Arabidopsis thaliana: one gene and its partner. The protein of the gene in region 2 interacts with the protein of the main gene of each other region in a pairwise test. Each region holds a gene or a part of one and is shown on either strand. Other genes may lie near its edges.

Region 1 (5,073 bases), on a different chromosome or scaffold from region 2:
AGTAGCTCTGAGAGAAAGGGTATTGGAGAAAACAAGTAACCTTAATGGGTTTGTTCTAAAGCTTGCTCCTTTCTGTGATCTTGATGAAGCTCTAAGCTTGGCTCAAGTAGCGGTAGGAATCGTGTCTTCTAATCTTGATGGGGATAAACCGATCGAGAACTGCTCGATCTGCTGTGAAGACCGTCAGTCTGAGATGATGCTATCATTGAAATGCACTCACAAATTCTGTTCGCACTGCATGAAAACGTACGTTGAAGGGAAAGTAAAGACTTCAGAGGTTCCCATCAGGTGTCCTCAAGTGCAATGCAAGCATTATCTCTCAGCAGCGGAATGCAAATCGTTCCTTCCCGTCACTACTTTCAAATCATTCGAGGAAGCAAATGTGTGTAGTAAAAACAATGGGAAGATTTACTGCCCATATCCCAATTGCTCTTTTCTGTTAGACCCGCAAGAATGTCTATCATCAGGAAGGGCTAGCTCAAGCTCGTCTACTCAGTCAGAGAATAGCTGCTGTGTGGAGTGTCCAGTCTGTGAGAGGTTTGTGTGTGTGGACTGTGGTGTTCCTTGGCATGCTTCTATGAGCTGTGAAGAGTTTCAGATTCTTCCAGTTGATGAAAGATACCCAGATGATATTACATTGCATCGCTTGGCAAGGTATAAGAGGTGGAGGCGGTGTCAGCAATGCCGTATAATGATCGAGCTTGCTCAAGGCTGCAACCACATGACTTGCCGGTAAGACACACATATATATCTATGGCTACACATTGTTTTCCGTATCTATACATATTTGAACCACCAAAGTTAGGTTTTTGACTTCCAATAAAATATAGTTAGTCTTGACCCTTTAACTGCAGAATCACGGTATCGTAATAACCATATGATTCTAAGGTTTTTTTTTTCTCGCCTACGTTTAAATCTAGTATTCTAGAGCAAGTGTTTCTTTTGCGATTCTTACGCATATAAATGTCAAAACTCTCTGTGTTTTCCGCAGATGCGGGCATGAGTTTTGCTACTCGTGTGGAGCAGAGTACAGAGAAGGGCAACAGACTTGCACGTGTGCTTTTTGGGACGATGATGAAGAAGAACAAGAAAACGCAGTAGAGGAAAACACAATTCAAGAAGTTGAGCAATGGCCTTGGGACACATTTAACTCAATTCCAACTGTAATGGACGCGTACTCAGAGCAAGAAAGATCTCAGCTTGCTCTGATCCAAAGGTTCTTAGCAGGTGGAGGGTTTAGTCTCAGTGATCACCATACTACTTATCAGTCACCGCCGCCTCCATGTACAGAGTCATCATATGTTGAAGCCGCAATGAAAGATCTTCATCAGCTTCCTTGGCTTGAGAGGTTTGTGTCTGTTATAAGTGATGATTACTATGAAGAGTATAATAGCCAGTGAAAGTAGTAGAATTGTAATTTAATAGCCTTGAGGATCCGGCTTGGTTTGGTTCAGAGAGGCCAAACGAGAGTATCTCACTCTCGAAAGTAATTGTTGGGAGGGTTTTAGATTCTTGATGAACTCAAACAAACGAATTGTGATGAAACTATTTGCAATTATAAGAAGAAGAGTTTGCTCATCTCCATTCTACAAATCCTGCAAGAAAGATTAACACTCTTTTATATTCAGTGTTATGTTATGATATTTAATCTACCAAAATTTGGTTGAAGAACTAATCAAAATGAACTTGGTTAGCATCATCATATATATACCAACTACCAAGTAAAGAAAAAGTTTGATAAATTCAATTATTCATGCTCTTCAAATAAAATACAGAACCCATTAAAAAGGGTCCACTTATCATCAATCTACTCTTGCATTATCTTGAGTTTTTGTGTAGACATAACATAACCCATTTTATAAGTTATGACCTTATTAGAAAGGGTCCACTTATCATCAATCTACTTAGCATTTTGTGTATATTTCTCAAAGCTGACGTTATTTAAGACGTCATAGACCCACTTCACCACAACTCAAGTCGTCTTCAATTGCTGACGACATTGCTTACGGTTTTTGAATCGTCGTCACAAAATTTAGGAGATTGGATTAGGAATTGGCTCTTTCTTTACTATTCTCCAAAGACTTTACTATTTGGTCAGTCTTCTTATTTCTCACCTTTAGCTTTTAGATAAACCTCTGATTTTTTTCTCCCATCTGTTCTGAGATTGTCTTCTTCTTCTTGAAATCTTTTTCATTTGTGCAATGATTTTGAAGACTACCCATCTATTCAGTTCTTTCTCTTATGATTTAAGTTTCATTTAGTTTTTTTTTCTCATCCGCCATTTTCGTTGACTTTTTGAAGCATTTCTCGAATTGACTTTGTTCTTCACATTGATTCATTAGAATGTTCTTTCATAAAGTTTGGATCTTTTCTTCAGGGCTTGATTAATTTCATATCTATGATCTTCTCTGTATTGTTTTTGATCCAATCACTTCTCAAAATTTGATCCTTGTCATTGGATTTAGATTTAGGGTTTTTGTATCCTTGGGGATTTGAAGATCAAAAACAGAGTCTTTGAGTGATACTTCTGGGGAACAAAATGGCTGCAACTGCAATAGAGCCATCTTCATCTATAAGTTTCACATCTTCTCACTTATCAAACCCTTCTCCTGTTGTTACTACTTATCACTCAGCTGCTAATCTTGAAGAGCTCAGCTCTAACTTGGAGCAGCTTCTCACTAATCCAGATTGCGATTACACTGACGCAGAGATCATCATTGAAGAAGAAGCTAACCCTGTGAGTGTTCATAGATGTGTTTTAGCTGCTAGGAGCAAGTTTTTTCTTGATCTGTTTAAGAAAGATAAAGATAGTAGTGAGAAGAAACCTAAGTATCAAATGAAAGATTTATTACCATATGGAAATGTGGGACGTGAGGCATTTCTGCATTTCTTGAGCTATATCTACACTGGGAGGTTAAAGCCTTTTCCTATCGAGGTTTCAACTTGTGTTGATTCAGTTTGTGCTCATGATTCTTGTAAACCGGCCATTGATTTTGCTGTTGAGTTGATGTATGCTTCATTTGTGTTCCAAATCCCGGATCTTGTTTCGTCATTTCAGGTTTGAGATAAAGTTTCTTTGTGATTTTGCTGGTAAATAATCTGTTCTTGATTGGTCAAGGCTGTAATGTTGTGTGTTGTTGTGTCTGCAGCGGAAGCTTCGTAACTATGTTGAGAAGTCACTAGTAGAGAATGTTCTTCCTATCCTCTTAGTTGCGTTTCATTGTGATTTGACACAGCTTCTTGATCAATGCATTGAGAGAGTGGCGAGATCAGACTTAGACAGATTCTGTATCGAAAAGGAGCTTCCTTTAGAAGTATTGGAAAAAATCAAACAGCTTCGAGTTAAGTCGGTGAACATACCCGAGGTGGAGGATAAATCGATAGAGAGAACAGGGAAAGTACTCAAGGCATTGGATTCAGATGATGTAGAACTCGTGAAGCTTCTTTTGACTGAGTCAGATATAACTCTAGACCAAGCCAATGGTCTACATTATGCAGTGGCATACAGTGATCCGAAAGTTGTGACACAGGTTCTTGATCTAGATATGGCTGATGTTAATTTCAGAAATTCCAGGGGGTATACGGTTCTTCATATTGCTGCTATGCGTAGAGAGCCAACAATTATCATACCACTTATTCAAAAAGGAGCTAATGCTTCAGATTTCACGTTTGATGGACGCAGTGCGGTAAATATATGTAGGAGACTCACTAGGCCGAAAGATTATCATACCAAAACCTCAAGGAAAGAACCTAGTAAATACCGCTTATGCATCGATATCTTGGAAAGGGAAATTAGAAGGAATCCATTGGTTAGTGGGGATACACCCACTTGTTCCCATTCGATGCCCGAGGATCTCCAAATGAGGTTGTTATACTTAGAAAAGCGAGGTATTGACCTAGTCGATATATATATTTCTCATAGCTTAAGGTTGATGTCTCTTTATTGAATTCTTGTATGTGTCATTGCAGTGGGACTTGCTCAGTTGTTCTTCCCAGCAGAAGCCAATGTGGCTATGGACGTTGCTAATGTTGAAGGGACAAGCGAGTGCACAGGTCTTCTAACTCCACCTCCATCAAATGATACAACTGAAAACTTGGGTAAAGTCGATTTAAATGAAACGCCTTATGTGCAAACGAAAAGAATGCTTACACGTATGAAAGCCCTCATGAAAACAGGTAAAAGCTTAAGGAAATGTACTTTCAAGTTTTATTCTCTGACCACAAGATTGACTGATTCGAAACCGTTCAACAACGCAGTTGAGACAGGTCGGAGATACTTCCCATCTTGTTATGAGGTTCTGGATAAGTACATGGATCAGTATATGGACGAAGAAATCCCTGATATGTCGTATCCCGAGAAAGGCACTGTGAAAGAGAGAAGACAGAAGAGGATGAGATATAACGAGCTGAAGAACGACGTTAAAAAAGCATATAGCAAAGACAAAGTCGCGCGGTCTTGTCTTTCTTCTTCATCACCAGCTTCTTCTCTTAGAGAAGCCTTAGAGAATCCAACATGATCTTGTCCCAGATAAGTAATGCTACTAGAGATAGTTCCTTGGAAGAAATTAGCTATTTTATAGGTTTTGGTTTAGAAAACAGTGGAGATCCCATTTTGGTATTCAGGTTTATTACATGGTTTAGGTTTGATTTTGTATTAAAGGAGATGGATTTTTGAAATGTATAAAGCAAAACCTTTCCTTTTTGCTTTGCTTCTTTCTTTAGTCAGAAAATTGTAATATATGGAAGTGAAATCGAAGCAACGATTGAGCAGAACGAGAAGCACAAGAAAAATGTTAAGCTAGTTAAAAGATTTTCAAGCTTCTTGCAAGAGAATTACTAAACAGGCACTTTCTCAGGGGAAAGATCCTCGTGTTGAATTAATCTCAATACCAAAATCTAAGCCTGCTTCTGATAGCAAAACAGGAACTAGAGAATAGAGATAGTTCCTTTGAAAAGATTGAAGATCCCATTTTGGCTTTAGGTTCAATTTGTATTACAAGGGATTTTGATTTTTAAAATGTGTAAAGGAAAAATATGATGCTCTGAATCCAAATCATTTAGAACATATTGCTT
Region 2 (3,936 bases):
GTTGATGAAGGAGCAACTACAAAAAAAAGATTGCATTTTAACGTCTTGCCGTTGTTTCGTTTTAGAGATGAACTACACGTCGTTTTTTGAAATTTGCTTTAACGTCAAATCTTTTCATACACGCGTAAGATTGGGCTATCATGGGCCTAAAATTGGCCCAATAGAAGGATGGGAAAGAAACTCAAAGAAGAAAACTCTACCAAATAATCCATGTTTTTTTATGTATGCAGAAGTTTATTATATCTGTATATATAGATAAACACTGATATATCTAAATATCTAATGCACTGAGGCTATTTCATTGTTTCAGTTTACTTAACATTGTTATTTATTTTGATATCGATTAGGGTTTGGATTTTGTGGGTTCGTCATAAAAGGGACTAGAGTTTTTTTTTATTGAAAAAGGAAACGGACTAGCTAGAGTTATAGTTTTGCATATCGGCTCTACCTAAAGTTTTAAATAAGTTGAATTCACGCATGCATCAAATAACTCGTGCACTTTAACGAACATTAATTGGTTAATCCACTGATTGTCAAATATCGACTATGAATTAGTCCATTTTATTCTTCTCGTTCCATACAATAAATCGATGTTAGTACAGTGGCAAAAGTGTAGTTTAGCAAGGACGAACACATGTGAGACGAGAAAAGGGACAAAGAGCTGAAAGTATAAATAGGCGTTACGTTCTATAGCGGTTTTCATGCTGAGAACATCATACAATTGTCGTTCGATATAATCTGTGGCTTGCATAGTTTACGGCTCCTCGTTTGGATTTTTGAGGAATTTATATAATTATAAATAATGACTATTTGTATTTTCACATACTTCAGTAGATAGATTCTCGAATCTCGAGATTACCAATATCATGCACATCATCATATGATGCATACACGTGATGTAATAAAGTTATTTTAATATGTATTCAGCCAAAAGTTGCACCAAAAAGAGAATCCATCGAATCCACGAAAACTAGGTTCTACTAATTAGTTATCTATTAAATTATTTCACAAAACTAATAACCATATAGCATTCAACACGAGTACACATCTATAACGGGGGGAAAAAAACTTTTATGGAAAACATTTAAAATAAATATGTATAAGTTAGTTAATATATGTGCCAAAACATGGAACCTAACGCCCACAGTTTTTCCCCATCTATAAAATATATGTACTTTCAGCCTTTCACTTCAATTCCCTAGCTCAACAAACAACAAACTATGAATCAAAACATATATCTCTTTATTTCATAATCATTTCCATAAATTACACCCTCAAAGGTTTTCCACTTCTTAAATCCCTTTTTATCAAATGGATGTCTTTATATCGGAAGAGTATATCAACCGCCGGAGATTGGAGAAAAAAGCTGCCACCGTTGCCGGAAAAAGCATGAGGTTTGGCTCAGCTTCAAGCAAGACACCAGAGAAGAGAAATAGTTACCCTCGGATATCGGAATCTCCGCCAGATAATGAGTTCCGGGTCACTGGCGGGGGTGTTTATGATAGCTTTGCCTTTGTGTTCCACTGCTTCTCGCCGTAAAAAAAACAAAGCGTTTGTGTTTAGCGATCAAAATGCATGCGCAATAGTATATGCATGGGAACTTTATTAGTTGTAGCTCTCGTTTTTCTAACATTTACTTGAAAAAATAATTCTTCTTAACACTGTTTTTCTGAATGATGGATAGAATTTCATGTTTACCAAATAAGTGGATAGGCCCAATAGCAAACAAACGAATAAATAAAAATTATTATCGGCCCAAATCCAATAAGAACGTGAGCAACATGATTTTAGTGACACGTGAATTTACTTAAATGAAAAGAAAAGCCTGGCACTTAAAATATATTTATATTTTCCAATAATCTCAAAAAAAAACTCTCTGATTCGAAAAGTGAAATTTGATTTTGACAAAAAAAAAATGAGCTACGACAGAGTCCCACCGGAATCGTATCCTCCTCCAGGTTCGTTCGTAATCACTTCTCCTTCTTATGATTCTCTTCTCTTCGATTCTAAATTCTGATTCTCTTATTTTGATCTATTCTAAAAGTACTAAGATCCTGTTTTTGATCGGACGAATTAGGATACCAATCTCACTATCCACCTCCGGGTTATCCATCAGCACCGCCACCGCCGGGATATCCTTCTCCTCCGTCGCATCACGAAGGATATCCTCCACCTCAGCCTTACGGAGGATATCCACCACCGTCTTCACGTCCTTACGAAGGCGGTTATCAAGGCTACTTCGCCGGAGGAGGTTATCCTCATCAGCATCACGGACCACCACCTCCTCCTCCGCCGCAAAATTACGACCACTGCCATCATGATCATCACCATTACCAAGATTCTGACTCTGGTTGCTTCTCTTTCATCCGTGGCTGGTTCGTTTCTTTCTCTACCACTTGCCGCCTTTTAATTTTCGTTTACTTTCATTGTTGTGAGTGCACTGATTCGATTCTCTGTGTTTTTTTTGGTCAATCTTGTTAGCTTTTATGTTGGATCACTGATTAATGCTCAGGGTTCATTGAACTAGTGTTTTGGTTTATGGAATTTGGGAATACTATGATCCTGATCAGAACCAGATTCCTTTGAGTTGATTTATGGATAAGCCATAATGTGAAACTCAAGAGTTCCGTTGTGAACCCTGACTTGACTTCTTTATCATTTTGTTTGGTGGCCAATTATCGAAATTTTAGAGCAAGAGATTCGTATTAATCCTTAGATTTAGTTCTCTGAGTGCTTTGCTGATCTTCTAAGGAAGGTTCTTGTCTTTTTATGATGAGTTTAGAGCTATCCATGTATAGACACATTTTTATGTTTATCTGTTGGACAGGATCTTTTACTTTTCAATGGATCTAGTGACTCTCTTAAGAACTACCTAATGGCTTTTATTTTACATTCTTAACCCCATAATATTTAGTATAAAGTTTGTAGATAAAATGTTATATCATCTGCAGCTTTTCTTTTAGTAAGAGATTTGTGATTGACCTCAAGTAGCCTAATCATGTTGCTTACAAATTGCGATTACGGAATCCTTTTTTTTGTGGGTTGCGAATTGCAGTCTTGCTGCTCTTTGCTGTTGCTGTTTGTTGGAGGAATGCTGCTTCTGAGAATGCCGCCAGTCTCTGTGGATCTCGTCGTTTACTGTCAGCATTATGTGTCTAATCGAAGACATATGCCATAACACTCTATGTCTTGTGTACTATCGTGTGTCAATGTCTGTTAATGTTTACCTCTTTGTTTGAGAGTGCACTCATCCAGAGCATGGATTAGACAAGTAGGTTTCTTGTGGATGTCATTGTAATTTGTATTATTTGGAAAACGTGATTGGTATTTTACCTAAATTTATGTTTTCAATGGCTGAATTACGGTGATAATAAAATGCGACATTTGTATTTGTTCCAAGTTTGATAAAAGGCAAAAACTAGTACAAAGAAAAGTTTGAAAACACATGAAGGTGCAAAGAGACTAAAGAATCCTAACATATGGTGGTGCATCTTTTCTAGTCCCAACCACTGTTCGGTAGAGGTAAAGTTTATCAACCTTCTCTCTTTCATCTTCTTCATTCTGTTCCATCCCATTATTCTCATTCTCGTTGATGATCTCTACGTTAAGCCGTGGCGAATTCTGCGCGAGCCTCTTGCAGCCACCGAGTGTTACTTCACAAGACGACATCCAAAGGGATCGCATTGTTTCGTACCTACCCACGTCAGCAAGAAGCGCAGCGTTCCCAAAAGGACTGTCCCTTATCTCCAGCTTCCTCATTTTTTTGCATCCATTCAACACATAGAGCATTCCTTTGTCAGTGTCCCCCGCAAAAGCTATCGAAAGCATCTCGAGCTGTTCCGCGTACATACCGATGTAGAGAAAGACTTGATCGGTTAAGAGACCGGAGACAGAGAGCCGTCTTAGACCCTTGCAAGCTTGTACGATTGCACCAAA

Evidence for each region.
Region 1: the proteins of AT1G12810 (region 2) and NPR4 interact in a two-hybrid assay, tested with the Arabidopsis thaliana proteins (one large-scale study listed by BioGRID).

The regions. Positions count from the first base shown.
Region 1 is NC_003075.7:10,695,710-10,700,782, reverse strand, and holds NPR4 (NPR1-like protein 4), read left to right. Parts: upstream 1-1,990; 5' UTR 1,991-2,539; coding exon 2,540-3,058; intron 3,059-3,149; coding exon 3,150-3,888; intron 3,889-3,969; coding exon 3,970-4,517; downstream 4,518-5,073. Other genes in the region: AT4G19670 (RING/U-box superfamily protein), read left to right, coding at 1-732, 992-1,400. UniProt on the Arabidopsis thaliana protein: Salicylic acid (SA)-binding substrate-specific adapter of an E3 ubiquitin-protein ligase complex (CUL3-RBX1-BTB) which mediates the ubiquitination and subsequent proteasomal degradation of NPR1 in the absence of SA.
Region 2 is NC_003070.9:4,365,417-4,369,352, forward strand, and holds AT1G12810 (proline-rich family protein), read left to right. Parts: upstream 1-1,839; 5' UTR 1,840-1,915; coding exon 1,916-1,958; intron 1,959-2,077; coding exon 2,078-2,375; exon of another isoform or gene 2,376-2,603; coding exon 2,604-2,702; exon of another isoform or gene 2,703-3,055; coding exon 3,056-3,104; 3' UTR 3,105-3,388; downstream 3,389-3,936. Other genes in the region: AT1G12805 (nucleotide binding protein), read left to right, coding at 1,312-1,539; AFB3 (auxin signaling F-box 3), read right to left, coding at 3,463-3,936.